Danio rerio: one gene and its partner. The protein of the gene in region 1 interacts with the protein of each later gene in a biochemical or structural test. Links are inferred from orthologs where the notes say so. Each region holds a gene or a part of one and is shown in the gene's direction. Other genes may lie near its edges.

Region 1 (11,151 bases):
AATTCATGTAAATTCCCAACTAGAAACTTGTGTTTAGATCAATTCTAATAACACAAAAAACACAGCATTAGAACAGAAGTAGCCTACAGCTGTTGTCAGCATCACATTCAATTGAGAATTGTGTACTAGGTTACATTTAATTTAAAAAATAAAATATCAAATTAAACAGGCAAAACAAATCTTGCAAAACTTAGAGGCATTTATTTATTTAGTCAGAGGCCTAAACAGCACCACTTGGGTGTATCTGCATAATTTTACCAAAACAATATTATTTTTTTATTCACAATTATCTAATTAATTAATATTAAATAATTATATATATATATATATATATATATATATATATATATATATATATATATATATATATATATATATATATATATATATATACATACATACACACACACACACACACACACACACACACACACACACACACACACACACACACACACACACATTTCCAACTACCAGTCAAGTTTGGAATCAGTGTTGATTAATGTTTGTAAAAAGGCAGTTCTGCATTTATTTATTTAATAATATTTTAAATATCTGTTTTCTAATTGAATGTAGTTTCAATTTTGATTAATTTCTGTGAATTAAAGCTAAATTGTTTATTATAATGAGTTGCATTTCTGTTATAATAAATTATTAATGGTGCAAAAACACTGCTGATTGTAGATCACTGTTGAATGATTCTTACAATTATTAGTGCTGAAAAGAAAACACTTTGTCTTGCTTCTTAGTATCATGGAAACAGTGGTACTATTTACTTTTAGGATTCTTTGATAACAAAGAATGTAAAAAAAAATCATCTTTTTTTTTTTATTTACTTTCACTCTTAAACGATTTATTATGGTGAATAAGGGTAAACACTTTGATTGATACTTTTATATTGTATTGTATCAGCTTCCCAAACTGACAACAACAATAAATGTTTCTTCTTGAGCAACCATGATGCTAGAATATTTCAAGGATTATATTACACTGAAGACAAATCCTGCTTAAAATTCACCTTTAAACCACAAGATTAATAACATTTTAAACTACATTAAATAAAAAAAAAGTTTATTTAATATTCTATATTTAATATTTTTATATTAAAGGAATGCAAAGCCATGAGTTTATTATAAAACAGATCTTACTGATTACAAACTTTTGACTCGAATAGGGCTCATTTCACAACAGAAATGTACACAGAAAACCTCATCTTAAGTTTGCATATCAACATAAACATTTTTTTTTTCATGATGCAGATGTACTGTCAGAAATGTTGACTATATTTGCTGAATAACATTCTCCAGCAGACGGGTAGTGCAGAAGTTGAGAGGGCTTTGCCTGAACACAATCTTCACCAGCTGTTAAGCAGTGCATGCATGTGACTCATCACTTTTGCTCTAATTCTCAGTAACATGGCCTTGTGCTACTTCTCAAATTCTCACAAACAGCCAATTGTTCCCATGCATGATGTTTGTTTGTGGGTGGGTTTGTGCGTGACAGAACAAGGGAGTATGTATAAGTTTAAGTATGTATAAGTATGTATAAATCAAAAAATTGTCATGTCAAAAATGCCTAAATGCACAAATATATTATTTTAGAACTTTTACAAATTAAATCTGAGTAAAATGTCATTAAATACAAGTAAAACAAAGGTTATGTTATTTGGGAAATTAAAAAGTAGTCATAATATAAATTTACATATTGACAATGAAAATATAAAAAGAGTATATGCAATTAAGTTTCTTGGTGTTGTATTGGAACATAAAATTAGCTGTAGCAATAGTGTATAAAGCAAAATTTATCCTGGACAATAAATCAATGTATATATTATATAACACACTTATGTAGCCATATATGAGTTATTGTGTTGAAATTTGGGGGAACACATATTATTCTAATTTACGATCCGTAAGTACAATGCAGAAAAAAAAGTAATCAGACTGATAGAAGGTGTGGGGTATTTGGAGCATACAAATATATTTTTTAAAATTAAAGATACTCAAGTTCAATGATTTGGTTAAATTTAAAACAGCACAATTTATGTTTAAAGCTAGGAATAAATTACATCCAAAATGCATACAAAAGTTTTTTGAATAAAGACAAGGGGGATATAACCTGAGAGAAGAACTAAATTTTATAGGAGGTTGAAAACAAGGACAACTTTAAAAAGTTTGTGTATGTCTGTCTGTGGTGTGAAATTATGGAACAGATCAGACTCTCAAACAATGTCAGCATGGTAATCAGTTTAAAAAGTTGTATAAATAAATATATATTATAAAAGGAATATAATGATGAAGGTGATTGAAAATGGTATGATGAAACTTTAATTAATGGCTATTTGCAGTACTATGTTTTTTTTTTGTTTTTTTTTTAGGTCTATGTTACAAAATGTAAAGGTACAAATGGATTTAAACATGTCAAAGATGCCAAAAGGATAAAATATGTCTCATGTAAAAAAAAGAGATGAGTGAAAGAAGAAATAGGTTTAAGTAATAGACGAATGAAGTATGTGGTAACGGGGTGGGAAAATAATAGGCTTGTGCTTCATCCCAGTCCATTTTCGAAAATGTTTTTTATTTTATTTTATTTTTTTATGATATTTTATGTATATTTTTGATCCAAAATAAATAAATCAAATCAAAACTTCTTTTTTCCCCCTTTTAATGTAGGAATTTCAACTGTGGTATTAAATATTAAAATGCTCATGCCTATTTACTGGAGTTGTGAAGTAAACTTTGTGCAGGATATCTTTTAGTTACATAGTTCAACTATTCTATTTCTACATGTTGTTTAATATCTATTCAACAAAACTAAGTAAAATAATTCATTTTTAATCGTTGCTTCTATGACATTTAAATTAAATTTTCTATTATTAACACTTAGCCAGTGGGGCTTTGCCAACTATTTTTTTTCTTTAATATTGTACTGCGTTGGTTTGTTATGATTATTTTATTTACTATTTCATATTTTAGTATCTATTTTGCATGCACATTAACCAATATTATTAACATGTTAACAACATCAAAACATGAATAAGTTAGAAAATTAAATACAAAAGCACACTGTTCTTCATTTTAAACAGGTGCATCTCAGAATGTGATTTTTACTTTATGTAAATGATCTACACAGCCACAGGACCCTTTATCTTTTTACTTATTTTCAACGTATTAGAGAGGCAACAAACTCACTGCTAAAATTAAAAACTATTTGCTACAATTGTTTAATACCTTGTTTCTGGATACAGGCTATAGTTTAGCTACAGTCGTGTGATGGGGAAATAGCATTACAAAACTGTAAGTCAGACGATGTTTGGGCAAAATTATGGCCATTCGCGTCCTTTCTATCGTGCAGAAAATAGATTTATGTTCATCTACAATCAAAAACAGAACAACCATTATGAAAAAAATATAAATATAGGCTACCACGAATGTATGTATATGCTTTTTTGTTATAATTTATGTGGATCAAAAATATAGTTTAACTTAAGCGCCCCACACAGCATAATGGCTAAATAATATACTTTAAAGTAGCCAAGTCAAACTTAATCTCTACAGGCCTAGCTAACATCGCGTCTTAATCAAAATCCATAAAATAACTTTACTCTTGAAAAACGAGAGATTTTTCCTGGTAACGTTAGCCTATTCCCGAAGAGTAACTTCTCCATGGCACAAAACCCAATTATGTTAGCATAATTAGCGTTGTGATATGCTTATGTACCCGAAAAAAAGAATAAAAAAACTTCTTGTGATCTAAAAGCAGGCTAATGCCAGTTACATTAGCCATAAAACATTAGCAGAACCTAATTTCTGTTTCTCTGCAGCCTCTCCTACTGTGTCGTAAACTCATGTCTTCCTGACTCAGCTGTTGTGCGCAGGCGCAGTATGACAGTACTGCACCACGGTTTTGCTGTGACGTTTATGACAGAGACAAGTCCGAACAAATATCTCGCTACGAAAAATTATTTTAAGACACAACACTTTGATAAACGAGTCAGTTTCGCTTATTTACGCATTATATTGGAACATGTTATTCATGGAGACCGATAAAAATAAATTACAGCGTTGAACTGATTGTTTTCGCAGTATCATCATCATTTGGTTTTACCTGTGAAGCGAATTAATTTCGAAAATCAATAAAGATGATGAACGTCGAGGATGAACTGACCACAGCAGCAGCCACCGGAAACATTTCCCATGTTCAGTTTTTACTTTCTAACGGAGTGAATGCCAATGTGGTTAACAAATTTAGAAGAACGCCTATACAGGTAGGTTTAGACGCGCTTTAAGAATAAACAACGGAAATAAACAAATGCAAATAAATAAATAAGATTAATTGCAGATATGTAACATTAAATTAGTAACATACAATTCAAAGACTTATTTTGTATTAAAGGTCATATTATTTAACAAATTTAGGCTATTTCATATTTTCACACCTGTTTGACTATATGGGATTTACTTTTCTTTTTTTTTTTTAAATATTAGGCTATTTGTGTATTTATTTTACTCATTTTAGCATGTTTAAGAACCTTTTAGGCTACTTAAACGGCCTGAAACATGTTTACCAATAGCGTGTTATCAACCTATATAATACTAACAACACTTTCTATCTTTTAGTAATGTCATTAATTTTAACATTATAATTTTAACTTATAGCTACATTCTTAGAAATTAGTCCGAAATAAGACAAGGAGTTTTGGATGTATTGTCAAAGTTCAAATTATTCAAAGAAAACTAAAATCTTATTGAAAACGAAAGTCCCAATGTACTATAACTGTGTATAAAAACCAAATGTTTACAATTATATATAAGAGATAGATAGATAGATTTATATACATAACAATAAATAAATAAGACATTTTATAGATCTTAATTTCAGATAAATTTTAAACTATTAAATCATATCTCTATGTGCGAGAAGAATGGCACACTACTTGCTAATTCACTCCCGAAAGCTTTGTTGGCATCGATGGTTTTAAGAAGAACCTTTTGCATCTATGGAGAAAATTTTTGAAAAATGTGCCTTTAAACTATTAAAATGTTTATTTCATTTTTTGACAATAAAAATACTTCTTTTGGAAGCTTTGTAATAGGTTTTCTGTGCGGAACCAGAAGGGCATCACTGCGAAAACCCTTTTCCTCTTATTGCCATGCTTGTTTTTACGAATGTACGTTTAATATTTTGACATTTGTACAGTTGGCCTATATTGACCAAAATAATCAGCCACCACTAGCACAGTCATAGACTAATGGAGTATATATTTTAGACCATACTTATTTTTGCTTGTTTTTATAATCGTGTAGGCCTATTATTATAATATTTGGTGTGAAAGTTTTCATCTAATTTTCACAATGTCCAATGGTTTTACGGTTCATGCTCTCGGTTACGGGACATCAAAAGCCGAAGAGGTAGCCTACAATAAAGTGCGTATAGATATCTTTTAGCACACTTTAAACAGATGGACAGCATACATCCAGAAATCGTAAAAGATTAGGCAATTGTAAAACTTCTGACGAGCATGAATTGCCTCAGAAAAATGTCAATTAAACGAAAGATGTTTAAGAAAATCACAAATGTGAACAAAGCATATTTATGGCATACATTTTATTTAAAATGATTATAGGAATCTTCATAATTAATCATATGAAAAATAAGAATTAGCTACAACACAATTTGTTGCATTTAATTGATTTACTGCCCGTGAATAATTTATTGATAGGCTAAAAGAGTAATGCATCATGCACAGCAATGTTCAGTGCCAGCATGTGCACTGCTTTCGTTCCTATTTAACCAAAAAGTATCTACTTTCCAGATTTCGAGTGATGGCAGTAAAATTATTGATTAAACAAACTTCTTTACAGTGACATCATGACGTTACTGGCGTTTATTTTTTCATGAGACAGCAATTTTCCCCCTCTCCAGGTGATGATGATGGGTAACGCACCTTTGGCTCTTGTGCTGCTGGAACAGGGAGCGGACCCTAATGTGCCTGACCCCGACACAGGGAGCACACCTCTGCACGACGCTGCCAGAACCGGATTCATTGACACCGTGCGGCTTTTAATCCGCTTCGGCGCCGACCCCAATACAAAAGATCACTGCGATTTACGACCAGTGGATGTGGCACAACAGACTGGCAACGTAGACGTGGTTGAATTACTCAATCGTGTTTAAAATGTTTAAAGACTGCATCACTGCATAGCCTAGGCTACTTTAGGTGGTAACCTTATTAATGCACTCAAGTACTTATAATTCTCAATAGCACATGGTCATTCATGTAGTTTGGAGATTCTAATCATTTAAAATTTTATTTCTGTATCTTTTAAGTTTATTTATTATTATTATTTATTATTAGCTAGTCAATGGGAACTTCAATAAAAGGCTACAGACACAAACCATCATACGCTCATGCTAGCCTATAGTTCGCATAATAAAAAGTGTAGACAGCATTATGTCCAAAGATAAATAAATAATTAAATAACATATCCACCTATTTGTTTTTAACCTGAAAAGCATGGCGACAAACATTGAATCAAATGGCTTGCAACGCAAGGACATCCAATATTTTTGGCGAGCTCTTTCTTTTTTCATTTCTTCCGGTTAAACATGCTTTTATTAAGTTTATAATATTGTACGACTAATAAAAATGAAACTTTCTATTTATACCAAGGCATAATTTAAATAATTTTGCTTAACGTGGTTAGCTGTTTGTTAGCTCTGTGTGGTTAAACTGTGTGGGTTAACTGACAAAAGAAACATTTAGTTTGTGCGGGATGTTTGTTAGCCTTTATTCTTAACTGTACTGTAGTGTTGAATTGATAATTGTTTCTTTTTTTCTGGCTACTCAAATACCCGGTGCAAACTAAACCCGTATGTTAATTAAGAGTTTAACCTTAAAAAACTATATATAGCCTAATAGAAAACGAGGCGCTTCATTTTACATGCATAACTCGTTTAACTAAGTGCAGGAAAGTGTATTAAAATCTCTATTTTTTTAGAAAGGCAGAGAGAGGAAAAAAACAGACAGAAAAGTTAAATAAGGCGTCGATGTAAAAGAAAACGGTGTAGATGCAAAGGAAACGAAGCAGGTAACGCTTGTCCAAAAAAAATCACTCCTGCATTTTTGTCCCCCTCACATTTGTATCCAAGTTTGTTACAAATACGCACTTTGTTCTTCATTCTAGAAAAACAAACGTGTTGCTGACTAAGTTACATATTTGCTAATTCAAATATAGTACAATGAATAATATCCACACAAACTGCATAGGGAAAACAGCATTCGTTTATTTGTAGGTATGACAGCCATTTATTAACCAAAATACTTGTATTTATATTTAAGCTATTTATGTCATGCTTATATTTGTGTGATATTGCTACTGCTAATGTAAAAGGCACTAAAACAATTGTAATTATCCCAAGATCCCGTCTTTTCCCTCTACCAGTGCTTTCATGCATATGTCTAAATCTGTTTATTTGTTTGTTTATTATAACTGCACAGCCATTTCAGTGTGGTTAACATACAAATCCCCCTTTTTTTTTTTTTTTGGTTGATGGTGGTAAGAATATTACACTTGTTTAAAGATAAACAACTGCAGTCATAGACACTACATTTTCATGACTTCTCGATGGCAGGATTTGTTAATGTTTGGGCAACATTACTGAGGACTGAGACATCGACTGAAAAACAACCAAGAGAAAAAACAAAATCAGATGTGATGGAAAATGTTCAACTCATATATTATGTTAAGAAAAAAAGCTGCTTTATAATTGCAGTATTTTAATAAAAACTCAACTCACTTTATGTGCATTTATTGTGCTGTCCCAGTCCATCTGGCAGATTTGCGGGATTGCTGTGAGCAGGATGCTGCTAGCCTTATTTGCGTTCTCTTTCATGGTTTTCAAAACATTGTCCACACACACCTAGAATAAAAAAAACAGCTTGGTATTTGCAAGAAAATTATGATACAAAGCAAAAGCGTGTCAATTAAAGCACCAAAAATCTATTAAACATTATTGTTTGTGTATGTTTGTGTATATTTAAGTTTTCTAAAAAAAATGGTAGCTTTATAAAGACATTTAAATAAGGTTTTTATTCATAAACATTGTTCAGACAGCATTTACAGCATTTCAATTAAGCTTAAGTATATCACATCAGCACAATGAGGATTGTTCTCACACATCTATGTATAAACTAGTTAAGCTGTCCAATGTTTATATCAGAATAAAATAAACTAAAAACATCTAAAAATCTTATAAAGTTATCATGTCTCTCACTAGATTTGCATTAAACTGCTCGATTTATGTGGATTAAAAGAAATCTTCATAAAAAACTAAACAAAATCCACATAAAAGAATTTAGATTAGATCTCTTAAGAGTCTCAGGTTTGTTTGCAGTTGCTCTGATAAGGTTGCTGAACTGGACTACATTTTATGCTCAAGTAACAGATAGACTATTGTCTCTAAACTATGAGCCATTTGGTTGTATAATGTCAGGATCTACATTTAACCTACTGCACCGACAGGAAATGTGAACTACACACTTTTTACTTTTTTTTTTATCAACAGTGGTTTCCTCTGGAGGAACTGACTAATTGGCTGCCAACAAACTGTGTATGATTGTCTGTGTATGAATCAGACAGAGATACTGAGAACACCATACAGGGACGGAAGGATGTGATGAAGCAGGGAGTGAAAACTAGAGGTCAGCAGCAGGAACTCGGAAGGCGGACTGAGAAATGCAAGGGGAAGTAAACACCAACACCAACTACCAGTCTTACCGGTCATCCGGCTATCGGAAACAATAATCTGCAGAGAGTTTATTGACTTAAAAATAAATATCCTATAAAAATTCTTCTGAACTAAGATACAAATAACTTGGACGCAGCAACAACACTTTTGCCTATTATAAGGTTCATTCTTTAAAATAGCATTTAAAAAAAATAATAAAAAAAAAAATATATATATATATATATATATAAAAACACATTGTCAAATCTCTTGTTTACAATAAACTATAAAAAAGCACCTAATAACATGAAGCTCTCAATTTAGACTTAAGCACCAAAATAATAATAAAGGCTAAAGCTTAATGGTTTGTATTTGCCACAAACATAAGGACCATTAGAAGAGATGGTCTTGAATGGAACCAAGGCTTTAAATATACATTGACCAGCCACTTTCTTAGGTACACCTTTCCAATGCACATTTCTAATCAGCCAGTTACATGGCAGTAGCTAAATGCATTTAGGCATGTAAACATGTAATGGTGTGGGGGATATTTTCTTGGCACAATTTGGGCCCATTATTACCAACTGTACATCATGTCAACGCCACAGCCTACCTGAGTATTGTTGCTGACGATGTCCATCTCTTTATGACCACAGTGTACCCATCTTCTAATGGCTACTTCCAGCAGGATAACGCGCCATGTTATAAAGTGTGAATCATACTAGACCAGTTTCTTGAACATGACAATGAGTTCACTGTACTCAAATGGCCACCACAATCACAAAATCTCAATCAAATAAAACACCTCTGGGATTTAGTGGAACGGGAGACTCGCATCATGGATTTGCAGCTGACAAATCCACAAAGGATTAAGGCAGTTCTAAAGGCAAAAGGGGGTCCAACTCGGTACTAGTAAGGAGTGCCTAATGAAGTGGCCAGTGAGTGTATATAAACTTGGTTTAAAAAAAACAAAACAATAAAATTATTGATTATTGTTAATATGCAAACACTTTTTATACAAGCTACTGCGCCATAATTAATACATTTATAAATGTCTTAAAAAAGCTTAAATAAAAGCTCAATGATGTAAGATTTATGCCAAAATTATTTGTTTTATTCATTGACTTAATGCCATTGACAAAAAAATATTTAAAAAGGTAAACAGCATTTAAATAATGAATACACTTCATGCAATGTTTGGGTTTCAATAAAGAGTTTCTTCAAGTAAGCTAAGCTCACGTTTTTCACACACAAGCACCATAAAAAGAATAAATTAGGGATAATAATAAGCTTAAGAAAGGGTGGGGTGAGTATAGGGGCTATTTGGAAAGGTCCTGTGTTTTTTTTTTCCCTGTAATTCCATCGTGTAACACGGAAATGATATAATTCACCTTTAATCTTGATGGAAAATCATTATTATTTTAAAAGGGTGTTGGTGAACCATAGTAATAACCAATAACAGCATAATAAAGCGAACTGTTCATCATGTTTTGTAACTTCAAAAACACATTCTCGTAAATGATAAAATTTAACTTTTTTTTTTTTAAATAGTCACTGACAAAATAAATAATAATAGATTTAGCTGCAAGCAGCAATTAAGAAGCCATGCAGTTCAGAGGCAGAATCAGTAATCATGTCAGAAAACACCACTTCAAGAATTTCATGCTTTCATAATAATAATATTAAGGAGGGAAAAAATCTTTTTTTCACCTGTAAAATGTCAAAAGGGGTTAGTGAGAGGTTGCTTTAGCCAAACCCTTTACATCCGAGGAAGAGAATAATCCTGCATTTAAGTCATTAAACAATTTTTATTTTTATTAGTTTTTAATACCCAGACTAATACCTTATTCCTATTATATTATTATTAATAATGATCTTGATTTTAATTTTAGGTCTCATAATGTATTTTGTCGGAAGTTACATGTCCCCTCACCCCAGCTGTGGGTAGATTAGACTGAAAATGGTTACAACAAAACATAAATTGACCATGAATCATTACAACGAGATTCACTGGTTGCATAAATTCTGTTCAGTTTAGTTTCAGTTCCGGAAAAAAAACAAAATGTAGTCCAGTTGGAACTGACTGAAAAAGATTGTATGTTTTATTTAAAGACACATTTCTGAGTCTGCCTTTTGCACAGCATTTTTTGGCTTGTGTGGGAGTAACATCAGAAACGTGCAGCTGTGTACAGTTTAGAGGGAATATTGGCAAGAAGTCAAATGGCTTACAAGAAGCCAGCAAAATACAATGTATTAGCTAAGGACTACTGCTAAGATTTAATTTTAAGATTTAAACTACAACTGTTTATTTAGCTAACTAAATGAAGACATCAAAAGACAAATATTATTTTATATACAGTATAACTTAACCCACATTTTTCACTGAAAGAAAATAAATGAGGATGCTTTTGTTTGACAAAA
Region 2 (10,545 bases), on another chromosome or scaffold:
GTGACAACCTTAGTAATAGCCAAATATATGGCTTTATGAAAAGAGTATTATGAGCAGGCCAGCATGTAATTCCTACTAATTAATGTGCATTTTATGAAAGTGAAAGCATGAAATTACAGAGTGCTATTATCCATTAAAAAACTGACCAAAAGTTACTATATGATAATTTTTTTTTATATATAAGTGTTGTCATATTTTGTATTAGGCCTATTGTTTTGTTCATTTCTACAATGACACTGCTTTTTTTTAAAAATAGATTCAATAGATAGATTTTTACAAAACTTGACAACTGAAATGAGGCTCTGAATGAGAAAGTCTTACCTCTGATTTATGTTTAGTGAAGATGTATGTGGGCATCAAAATTAAAGTGCACCTTTTCGCTTATGGTGTCTTATTGTTCACCCAGGGTGGTCATCACCGCACAATGCTCATGAATGCTCAAACTATAATGACGCCGAGGAGAAGAAATAATGAATGCTCAAACTATAATGATGTCGAGGAGAAGAAATAATATTTTAAATCAGAAGAAGTTGTAATATTGCGATTGAATCGCTGAAGGCATAAGGTCTGTTTTTGGTACTTTTCTATACTTTTAACAATATAAAACCCTTACTTTCTATAGAGGATGAGGGAACATCCAGATTTCATCCAAAATATGTTCTGAAGATAAACGAAAGTATCAGGGGTTTGTAATGATATGAGGCTACTATAAGTGTACTTACCTTCCTTTTTTTTCTCTCTCTTTTTTTTTTCTTGCTACCAGTGAATGGTAGTGTCTAGAAAGGGTATGTCCCTTCAGGAGAGAGGTGCCAATGTCCAACCGGCCTAATTCCAATCCAGGGGGGTCACTGCGCCGTTCACAGAGGAACACAGCCGCGGCCCAGCCAATAGACCACACACTTGCAGGAAGGTGAGTTAACCAAAGAAGACAGTTCCGTTTGTGCAGCAGTTGCTGAATAAAATGGCATCTATAACTACAGTCTTTTCTCTCTTTGTGATGCATCACTATGTTTCATTTTTAGTCCAAGGCAACAGCCATATTGATGCTTAACAATAAGTAAAGCGTTAAGAAGTGTGTTTATAATTGTTCCTCATTAGCTTCATTAATGTTTTGGTTTCCTAGTTTTTTTCTGAGTGCATATTTTTCTTATTAATTTTAATGTGTAGTTTCTAATATGATTAATTTAAACTAATTTGTGGTGGGATTTTTGTATCGTTGGACTAATTGGACTCTTAATTTGGAAATTTTAGTCATGGAACTGTTTAATTTACAAGTGCTGTGTAATATTGTTACAATTTAAAATAAATATTTTTTGGTTTATATATTTAACTTTTTTTACTTTATGAAAACTGTTAATCTAATTTTGTGTAAAACGACACCACATCAAACGTCATTTTGAGTTTGTTTTAAAAGTTCAAAACATTTCAAAAAGTTCTGTTAAAACTACCATTGGTTTATGATCATTACATGATGATCATGGATCTGAGTGTGTATGTGGAGGTCCAGTTCATTCTAGGATGCTGAAGCTCAAGCGCTTGTTGAATTCTTTGCCTCTGATGTGTCACTATTTGAAGACAAAAACAGGGCAAGGAGCAGGGAGGAAATGTTGAGCTCTATTTATTACTTTAAACTGTTAATAGATTTTTTTGAGAAAAAAATCTGGGATTAAAAAAGCCATCATGTCATGGAGAAAACCTTATAACTCAAATCAGTTTAACAATTTAAGAATCTTGATTTCAAGTATTTGGCTTTTTGTTTTATCAGGGTCCTACAGTCTTTGCTGCAGAGGTGTTTTAAGCTACTTTATACTCTTAAATGAAGAATCTGAAAGATTGTCACAGAGTATATCGGGGCCTTAATAATTTTATTGCATTAAACAGACTTTAAATGTCTGTCTGTATTCTAAAAGGTTTGCCAAGTCTGTCTACATTCACATTTGATTCAAGCAGCAGACTTTCACTTAAATAAAATATACTTTCGTTAGTAATGATGCTATACAATCAGTAGCTGAATAGCAGTGCTGGAAAGACTGAGATTGTTTCTCTGTTAGACGTGTTACATGGACACTTGGGTTTATTATTTGCCTGTGTTCTTTTCAAAAAACTTCTCCAGACAAGTGGCTAGTTGCTTAGTTGCCCATCTAAGAGTGATGCTCTCAACTTATGAGAAATGTCTAGCTAGATAGTCATAATGATTGCAGTTTGTCTGTGCCGTTGGGCTGATTGCTGTGTAGGAAGTGCTGAGAGTAGGACTGCAGTAGTTGTCATCTCGTGAAATCTAATTTGAGGTGTTCCTCATCTGCTGCCCATCCCACACTGCTCTCTGCTGTTTAATTCCCAACCTCTCCAGGTTGCAGCCAGAGCAAGTAAACCAAAAAGCAAATTCCCCACCTGAAAATAGAAGATCTAATTCTAAGGCTTCCAAAGCCCCGCCCAGCTCTGCCGTCGGCTACGCCCGCGGCCACACCTCTCGAAGGTATCCCTTTTTACTCCTGTGTGGGTCTTTTGTGTGACACAAGTTCACCATGCGAGACTACGGTTTCTTGGGTTCTCAAGTTCTTTCCTCTTCTGTTTGTTTTTATAGGAACAGCCTCTCTCTATCCGTGGGTTCACTCTCAATTCCAGATCCAGACTTGGAAGCAGCAGGGACTTCAGGCCAACAGGGGAGACGGGAGGGCAGCAGCACCCGCGCACTCAAACGCAGCTCCGTTTCAGAGCCCAATATCACTTTTTCACCTAGTCCAGCCAAGCGACCCAAAGTGGTGTCCAGCCACTTCTCTGACAGTTCAGCCAGTGGGCCCTCGGCCCCCGCAATATCACCTGAAGTTACAGAGCCAAGGAAGGCTCCAGCATCTGTCAGCACCAAGTCCAAAAAGAGACGGTTAGCAGCCGAACCGGCTCCTGCCAGAGCCCTGAGCAAGAAGAGCTCATCCTACCCTGGCCCCAGTGGGGCCTCCAGCACCCCTTCTCAAAAGCGCAAGAAGGCAGACGCCACTTTGTTGTCGTCCTCTTCTTCCTCCTCCCTCCCCAGCTCGAGCAGCGCGGCAGGCCCCCTGCCACCCCGCAGCGAGGCCAGCCGGGCAGCCAAACCCACCAAGCTGGCGTCCAAATCGGCCGCCTCAGCCAAAGCTGGGTGTAGCACCGTAACTGACTCCTCCTCTTCCTCTGCCTCTTCCTCCTCCTCCTCTTCTTCTTCCTCTTCGGCCGCCACAGGCACCAATAGCTGTGCCCCTCAGGGCGCCCGGCTAAAGCAGGGCAAGGACCAGAGCAAAGCTCGGCGATCACGGTCTGCGTCCTCCCCTTCCCCCCGCAGGAGTAGCCGGGATAAAGAGCAGAGCAAAGCTGCCGGCTCCTCCAAGTTTGACTGGGCATCTCGCTTCAACTCCAAAGTCAACCTGCCAAAGCCCAAACTGTCCCTGCCGGGATCGGCCAAGGCTGAGACGTCCTCCAAGCCTGGGCCCTCCGGACTGCAGGCCAAACTAGCAAGTGAGTGCCCACACTGCTGTTCAGAGAATTCCCTGTCATTTCTTTCTGTATTTTTAAAGCAGTGCGTCAGGTTTAAAAAACCCGCCTACCTGTGTTTAGAAGCTCTCAAAATAAGAGACTAGACCAAAACATTAGAAGCAGTTACACACTATGGCATGCTTCAGATCCGTAGCTAAAACCACTAGACCTCTTTAACTGTTAAATGATGTTAATTAATGCCTAGTTCAGACTGCGTGATTTTAGCCGCGATTTTGGCTCGCCGACAGGTTTTGAGAAATCGCCGACAAATGCCTGAATTCACAGGCAAATCGCTGCTCGTGCACGTGAGTGACAATCACAAAGTATGAACTATCAAAGACGCGATCTGAGAGAATCGCCGATGAGTCGCCGATGCCTGTGAGATATTTGGCGTGCTAAATATCTGGAGCTGTCGGCGATTCAAATCATGCCGTGTGAAATGAGTTTTGACTGAAAATAACATCAGCCATCGCCTACAGCCAATGAGAGAGCAGCTTTCACTTGTGTGTGCGTGTGTGTATACCTGCTGCAGGCCAGCGGGAGGCTGGGGGAGAAGGTAAAAGCGCTCTTTTTCGGTTTATTTGGACCCACGAAATGGAGGAAAAACTAGTGGACGTTTGACAGGACTCAGGGGCAACCGTGTCTGTTTGACGTTTTATACAGAAAGAAATTAGTTTATTATCAACGTTGAGGACAAATGGCTAATTCCCTTTAAACCCAGGTGAGCAAACATGTACATGTTCTACCCCATTAAAGGCTTCTTTCTCATTATGTAGTTAATAACAAAAGATATACTACGTGTTTTTTGCTGTGAGACGTAGTTTGGACGAAGTTGTCGGCGATTCTTCCTATAGTAAAGTCATGTAATCTGAAAGTCCCCAATCCATCTTGCAGTGTAAACAAAGCAGCGACGAAACGCTAGCCCAGATAGTCATGCAGTGTAAAAACATCTGTGACACGACTACTTTGAAAATCATGCAGTCTGAACTCGGCATTAGTGTTTTAATTCTAAATATGAATCAAAAACAGCATTTCCACAATCATTTTTAAAAATAGGTAACATTTTAGTCATTTAATGTACTACACATTAAGTAGAGCAAATGGCAGCTTTATTTCTTAGACTACTAGTCCTAAAGTAGTATTGCAATTTTTCCTTGTCTGTTGCATTAATTTGTTCCTTCTAACCAGCTAAATTGCCAGTCTTGTAAATAAACTCTTTTTAAACTCTCTTAACACGCATAACAGCAGCATGCATACATATCTTTACATAGTAGACACCTATCAGAAGAAATACTGTTATTGTTGCATTTGTACAATCTACCAAAGGGCCAATAATTTCATCTACACTGATCGAATCACAATGGCTGCACACACTTGAACTATTCAGTGTCTGGGCTTCAGATTCAGTAGCCGCATTTCCACTATCGGGCCAGTGCGAGCCAGGGCTTTAATCGGGCCGGGGCGGGCCAATAGCCCGGGAGGTTGAGAAATGAGGCTGAAATCATGTCGCGTTTCCACTGTCGGGCTAAAGCTCACAGCGCGTCACGCAAACACCGCCCACAGAACGTCCCCGAATCAAACGTCACACAACCCGCCCACTTCAGCGGGAATGAGGCAGATAAAGCACACCATAAATCATCACGAAACGAAACCATTAAAATGAAGACAACCGAAACAAACAAACGACACGTTACTGTACAGCAGTACATTATATATCTATACGCACAGACCTGTGTATTTCCATTCATTACATTTGTTTACTCGCCGACCGACTGCATTGTGCATGGACTGCTCTCGCCACTAACGCAGGGACCCAACACAGAGAGCGCACACATCCATAATATAAAGCCACAGAAATTCTCCTTTATAACTCGATATGGCATGTATTTTTTAACATCCTCGTTTTGATAGAAGTCGTGTTAAGTTTTCAGCACAAGAGCGAGTAGCCTAATAAAATATAGCCATATTTGTTGCGCTCGGCAGCTATTCACTAAAACTCATCATTTAAAGTTTCATTTATAAATTTAACCACGTCAAATAAAAACATAAACAGTTGTTTGAGGATATGGAACACATTTTGTGTTTGGACTTCCCCCATATGCGTTTAAAGCAGCGAGTGCTGCGCAGGACTGAGTGACAGAAAAAAAGGTATAGGAGATTCTGCTTTCACTCACTCAAATAATGCTCTGTTTGCGCGATTTGATTAATATCATCGTATCCAAATACTTTATAAATATTTACTTACATAAATATTTACTTTATATAAATATTTCAAACCTTCTCCGGTGTTTATTGTTTTTAAAAAATATCGAAAATCTTTTTTTTTTTTTTCCAGACAGGTCTTTGCAAAATGAAAGTTAGGCTATATGTGGCTTTAAAACGGTTTGATTTATGTATTGTATATAGGCTACCTACATTGTTATAGTTAGCTTTTGTTTATTTTATATTGGTTAATTTATTTAATGTGATTATATATATATCCGATATTTGTAATTCTTTAAATTATATTTCAATATAGGCTACCTTAGGCTATTTTATCAAGATATGACAATATATTGTTTAAAGTCTACGAAAGTGGGCACGTATTTTGTTAAGTTTATGTCTTTCTGTTGTATTTATATGTGTATTATCTCCAAAATAAATAAAGAAAAAAGCCGCTCGCGGCATAACAGAGCTGTGAAGGAGCGCTTTTGCCCGGTCTCACACACACATACAGGCATCTAAACGTGCACAAACAAACAAACATTTTAAACTTGACAAAAACTCTCGAAAACGTTTACTGTCTGATGTGTTTTTAATATGGTGTAAAGATTATTATGCGTTATTGAAACATAAAGGAGGACGCAGCAAAGAACGTCACTATAAATTAAAACTACTTTATTATTTTATGCAGCAGCCTTACATTTAAAAGGGAAACATAAGGGTGATCATACGCAAAAAGACCCCAGACTATAAGGCTAGATGTTTTCTTTCCCTTATTTCTTTATTTGTTTGGCGCATGTACTCATGTGCGATCAGAAAACTGCCCGCCTCTCCTTTCACTCCGCCCCAAAGCCCCAGCTGGCCCTCCTTGGCCCAAGGTATTCGGCGGGCCGAAAAAGGCCGGCCGCTGGCCCCAAGAAAGCCCCGCTTAGGCCCGATTAGGCCCCGGAAGTGACAGTGGAAACGCCACTGGCCTTGGCTCGCCCTGGCTCGCTCGCTTTAGGCGCGATAGTGGAAACGCGGCTAGTGAGTGCACATGTACAACACCAGCTGCAATGGTGCTAGAAGTAAACCTTAGTGTACAGACACCTGCTGCAAGTGAGGCATCTGACACTCGAGCTTAACAGAACTGATCTATATGGCTGCTCTTTTGTGGATGACAGTGTTGCCATTGATCGACTTTTAACTCAGAACGTGTAATATTCTTCATATCATGCCCTTGCCAATCTTTTGATCATGTTAAGACTCATAAACTTAGCACTCATGAACTCCATCCACAGAGAAATCTTTTCATGCTTGGGGATATACATATCTTAATATGATGAATATGATCATCAGTGTTTTATTGTTTTTGATCGATTGCAGTGTCTGTATTTTCAAAGCAGAAATTGAGAGATATGAAATCCCCCAAACACCTACAGTTTGTGAGAGAATTCTCAAAATAATGCTGGTCCCGGATGTACAAGAAGTCGACCCCTGAGACAGATCAAACTCTTGTGTAATCTTTTAAAATCACGGACAGCCTTTTGAAAGGATAGACTGTAAATATTCAGTTATTGTTATCTCTGCATTGGAGCAATTCCAGCGCTATGAATGTAACATTTGCAGTAAAAGCTTAAAACATAAATTCACAGAGAAAGTATATATGTTAACATTATATTGAAACATCTGTTTATATTTTCCGAAACAACTTAACTCAAGAGTTATGCAGGGTTTCTGCAGGGTCTTACAAGGTCTTACATTTCAAAATTCAAATTTTAGGCCTTAAAAGGTCTTAAATTTACTGAAATAATGTGTTGTAGGTCCTAAATCTTTTTTTTAAACAGGTCTTAATTTTCCTGTTCATGCATTGCTGCCCAATCTGGTCTAAACCCATATCCAATCCATATCCAATCACCAACAATCCATCTCAATAAAACGTTAACCTTTTTTATTTAAAAAGGTCATTTTTAACTCTATTTATCACAGTGGTTTAGTTATTTTCCTAACAATAACATTTGTTTGAAAGTGCTCCAGTTTATTATAGTTTTTAAAACTTTTAAAACATTTGTTCATTTTTTTTTGTATTCATTTAAGTGTAGAAATACAAGCAGAGCTTGCCTGTTTTTACACAGTAGTTAAAATATTTTGCTAAGACATAAAATCTAAAATAATAATTATTTTTTTATTGTTCTTGTATTATTAAGTAATTTTAATTTATTTAAAAAAATGATATGGCAAATAAAAATCTTTTCCATTTGGACTATTTGAAAAATCCCTTAGCATTTAGCCCTTTATGAGTCTAAAATTTTATTCTTAAATTTAAATTCTTTAAGTCTTAAATTTAACTTGCCTCCTCATCAAAGTTCCTGAAACCAAAGAAGGTCATACACAATATTAATTCTTTTCTGGCTGCACCATTACTTTATGTTCTATAATGTACTTTATTTCTATTAAATGACAAGACTCTTTATCTAAGCCAAGTCAGACCTTACTGTCCTAATCAAATAATTAAAAATCAAGGCAGGATCATATTTTATTTTGGTGAAATACGCAAAATCTAGAGGCCTTTGCCTTTCATATAAGCCACTTCTGATAGCAAATGATGAACTAGAAGTCAAGTCATTATTTGTTGTTCCTAAAACATGAATAGGCGACAAGACTTTAGTCAGGTAGTGTAGAGTATACAACATATCTTGTAGAAATTTATGAGGAAAACCTTTGTATGTGACACCTCATCTTTATAGATGAGACGTGAAATTGCCACTTGTGTGACTGTATCAATGTTTACAAATAATTATATGTCATTTACAATAAACATTTGAGTATTTTTCCAGTACTGTAAAACACATGTCTAAGCAGGGTTTCCATATTTTGGTAAACTTAATTTTTTTCATGGGAAGGTTGACATTTGCATGCTCATCGCAGACATGGTATTTTTGCTCTAAGTAGAATTGGTGTCTTCACTTCAATGATCACACCAATACTGATGATCATTTCCAGCCCCAGTAATAGTGGATGGGGTTTTGGCTCTGGTCATGGCAGGGGGAGCTGGCTCAGGTTTCAGTCCAGTTCAGTGCCAGTGTCCAGGGCTAAAAATACCAGCCTTCTGCTGCCTTACAGTACTCTATGGACAAGAGTCGCGGCTGGATGTATGTTGAGGTAGGAAGGCCTTTTTGGTGTACTTTACTTTGCTGTGCAGATAAGCCTAGCAGTGGTTTGGGCTATCAGAATTCATGGAGGTGGGTTAGAACACTGGCATGCATGGATATCTAAGCTTATTGGTTAACTGTTCAAGATCATATGAGTGGTTTTGGTTAGATGTCAGTCTTGTTATACACTCAAAGGGTTGCTATGAAGTGTTCTGTGAGGCCTTGTTGGAGGTGTTTATGTTAAGCAAGAGAGGTCATCCTGGGTAGACATAGGTCAGGCTGGAATGATTATGGAAGGACAGACTCCGATATGAACAGTCACGGGAGGGCATTCTGCCAAAGGGCAGGGGGCAGTGCTTTGCCCAGAATAGACCCTCAGTGTTGGGGTTTGACCACCAGACTGGAGCTGTTGAAGGTATGATTGGTTCATCTGGCTTTACAGGGAAAGCGCAGTCAGAGGTCTTTTAAAGTTTGTCTTTCATTTTGCATTGTTTTTTATATCCTGTTGGCCCGGTGGTGTATGCTGTATATCAGTTGGGCGCTTCAAGCTGTTTGGTTTTGATGAACTGTGCTACTTGTTTAATGTAATCCTGGATAGTTTGTTTAATAATACATTTTAATATAGGACTGTTCAATAAATGTGCTGTTACATGTTGACACGGGTGCATTTTCAATAGGTGAGGTTGTGTTTTTGGGGGAATCAGTAAATCTTTTGAGTCTTTTTCACATTAGTGTTTTTACCAATCATCTTTTTTAGGAACAAATCAGCGTATTTTCTTGAATCATTATTATCCTGAAAATCAATTTAAAGTTTTTAATGAGTTAAATACATTTATGATCAACACTTCCTTCACTTTGAAATCCTTTTTTCAACCTCAGAATTTATTGCACTGTGTTGGTCACATGCATCACTTGCACTAAAACAGTTATTCAGTGTACAAGTTTGGGAAGACTTTTACTTGTGATATGTAAAAAAAAACACTTCCATTGCTTGGTACAGTTTGGTACGGTACAACTCGTGTTTGGACAGTTTTCCTCTGTGTATGGTAACTGGTACCTAGTATTTATTTATTTAATTATTTATAACACCTTGTCTGAAGTGCCAAGTGACATACCATAACCAAAATGGTAGGTTCTTATGGCCCGTTTCCACTGAGTGGTTCGGTTTGGTATGGCCGTTTCCACGTTTTATGGCCGTTTCCACTGCCAAAAGGCGTACTGAACCAAACCGTACCGTACCACTTTTTCGGCACCCTTTCGAAAGGGTCCCAAACACAAGAAAGGCTACCAAAAGGCGGAGCTAGACGCGCAGCTGAATGCTATTGGTTTACAGAGATGCATCATTCGATTAGGCAACAAGCCAGTATGTAAACAAAGGAGCCGCCATGTTTGAAATACACAGCGATATATTACTTGCGCTCGCCGCGCGTCTATATCTAAAATAACTATCTTCTTGAGCTGATAATTATAACGTGCGCTTGATTATTGACAAGCTTTGGAAACCCGATCCTGTGAGAAGCTGACAAACGCAAGAATGACACATTCAGAAAGAAAAAGACAAACGCAAGCGTGGAGTGCTGAAAAAAGGGAAAGCCAAGGAGCACGTTATTTCTTCAGCAAACGTGAACAAACTGCCTTGTTTTAATTTTTATTATCACCCTTTGGACTAATATGAACTGGGATTGATGAAATGACTCTCTAACAGGGG

Evidence for each region.
Region 2: the proteins of cdkn2a/b (region 1) and trip12 form a complex in vitro, tested with the Homo sapiens proteins (2 studies listed by BioGRID). The link is inferred for Danio rerio from reciprocal best matches to the Homo sapiens genes CDKN2A and TRIP12.

What each region holds. Positions count from the first base shown.
Region 1 is NC_133176.1:27,771,643-27,782,793, reverse strand, and holds cdkn2a/b (cyclin-dependent kinase inhibitor 2A), read left to right. Parts: upstream 1-3,879; 5' UTR 3,880-4,141; coding exon 4,142-4,267; intron 4,268-5,925; coding exon 5,926-6,177; 3' UTR 6,178-7,439; downstream 7,440-11,151. Other genes in the region: mtap (S-methyl-5'-thioadenosine phosphorylase), read right to left, coding at 7,642-7,680, 7,801-7,923. UniProt on the Homo sapiens protein: Acts as a negative regulator of the proliferation of normal cells by interacting strongly with CDK4 and CDK6. This inhibits their ability to interact with cyclins D and to phosphorylate the retinoblastoma protein.
Region 2 is NC_133193.1:44,172,790-44,183,334, forward strand, and holds part of trip12 (E3 ubiquitin-protein ligase TRIP12), read left to right. Parts: intron 1-763; 5' UTR 764-812; coding exon 813-910; intron 911-2,350; coding exon 2,351-2,476; intron 2,477-2,584; coding exon 2,585-3,486; intron 3,487-8,806; exon of another isoform or gene 8,807-8,847; intron 8,848-10,545. UniProt on the Homo sapiens protein: E3 ubiquitin-protein ligase involved in ubiquitin fusion degradation (UFD) pathway and regulation of DNA repair.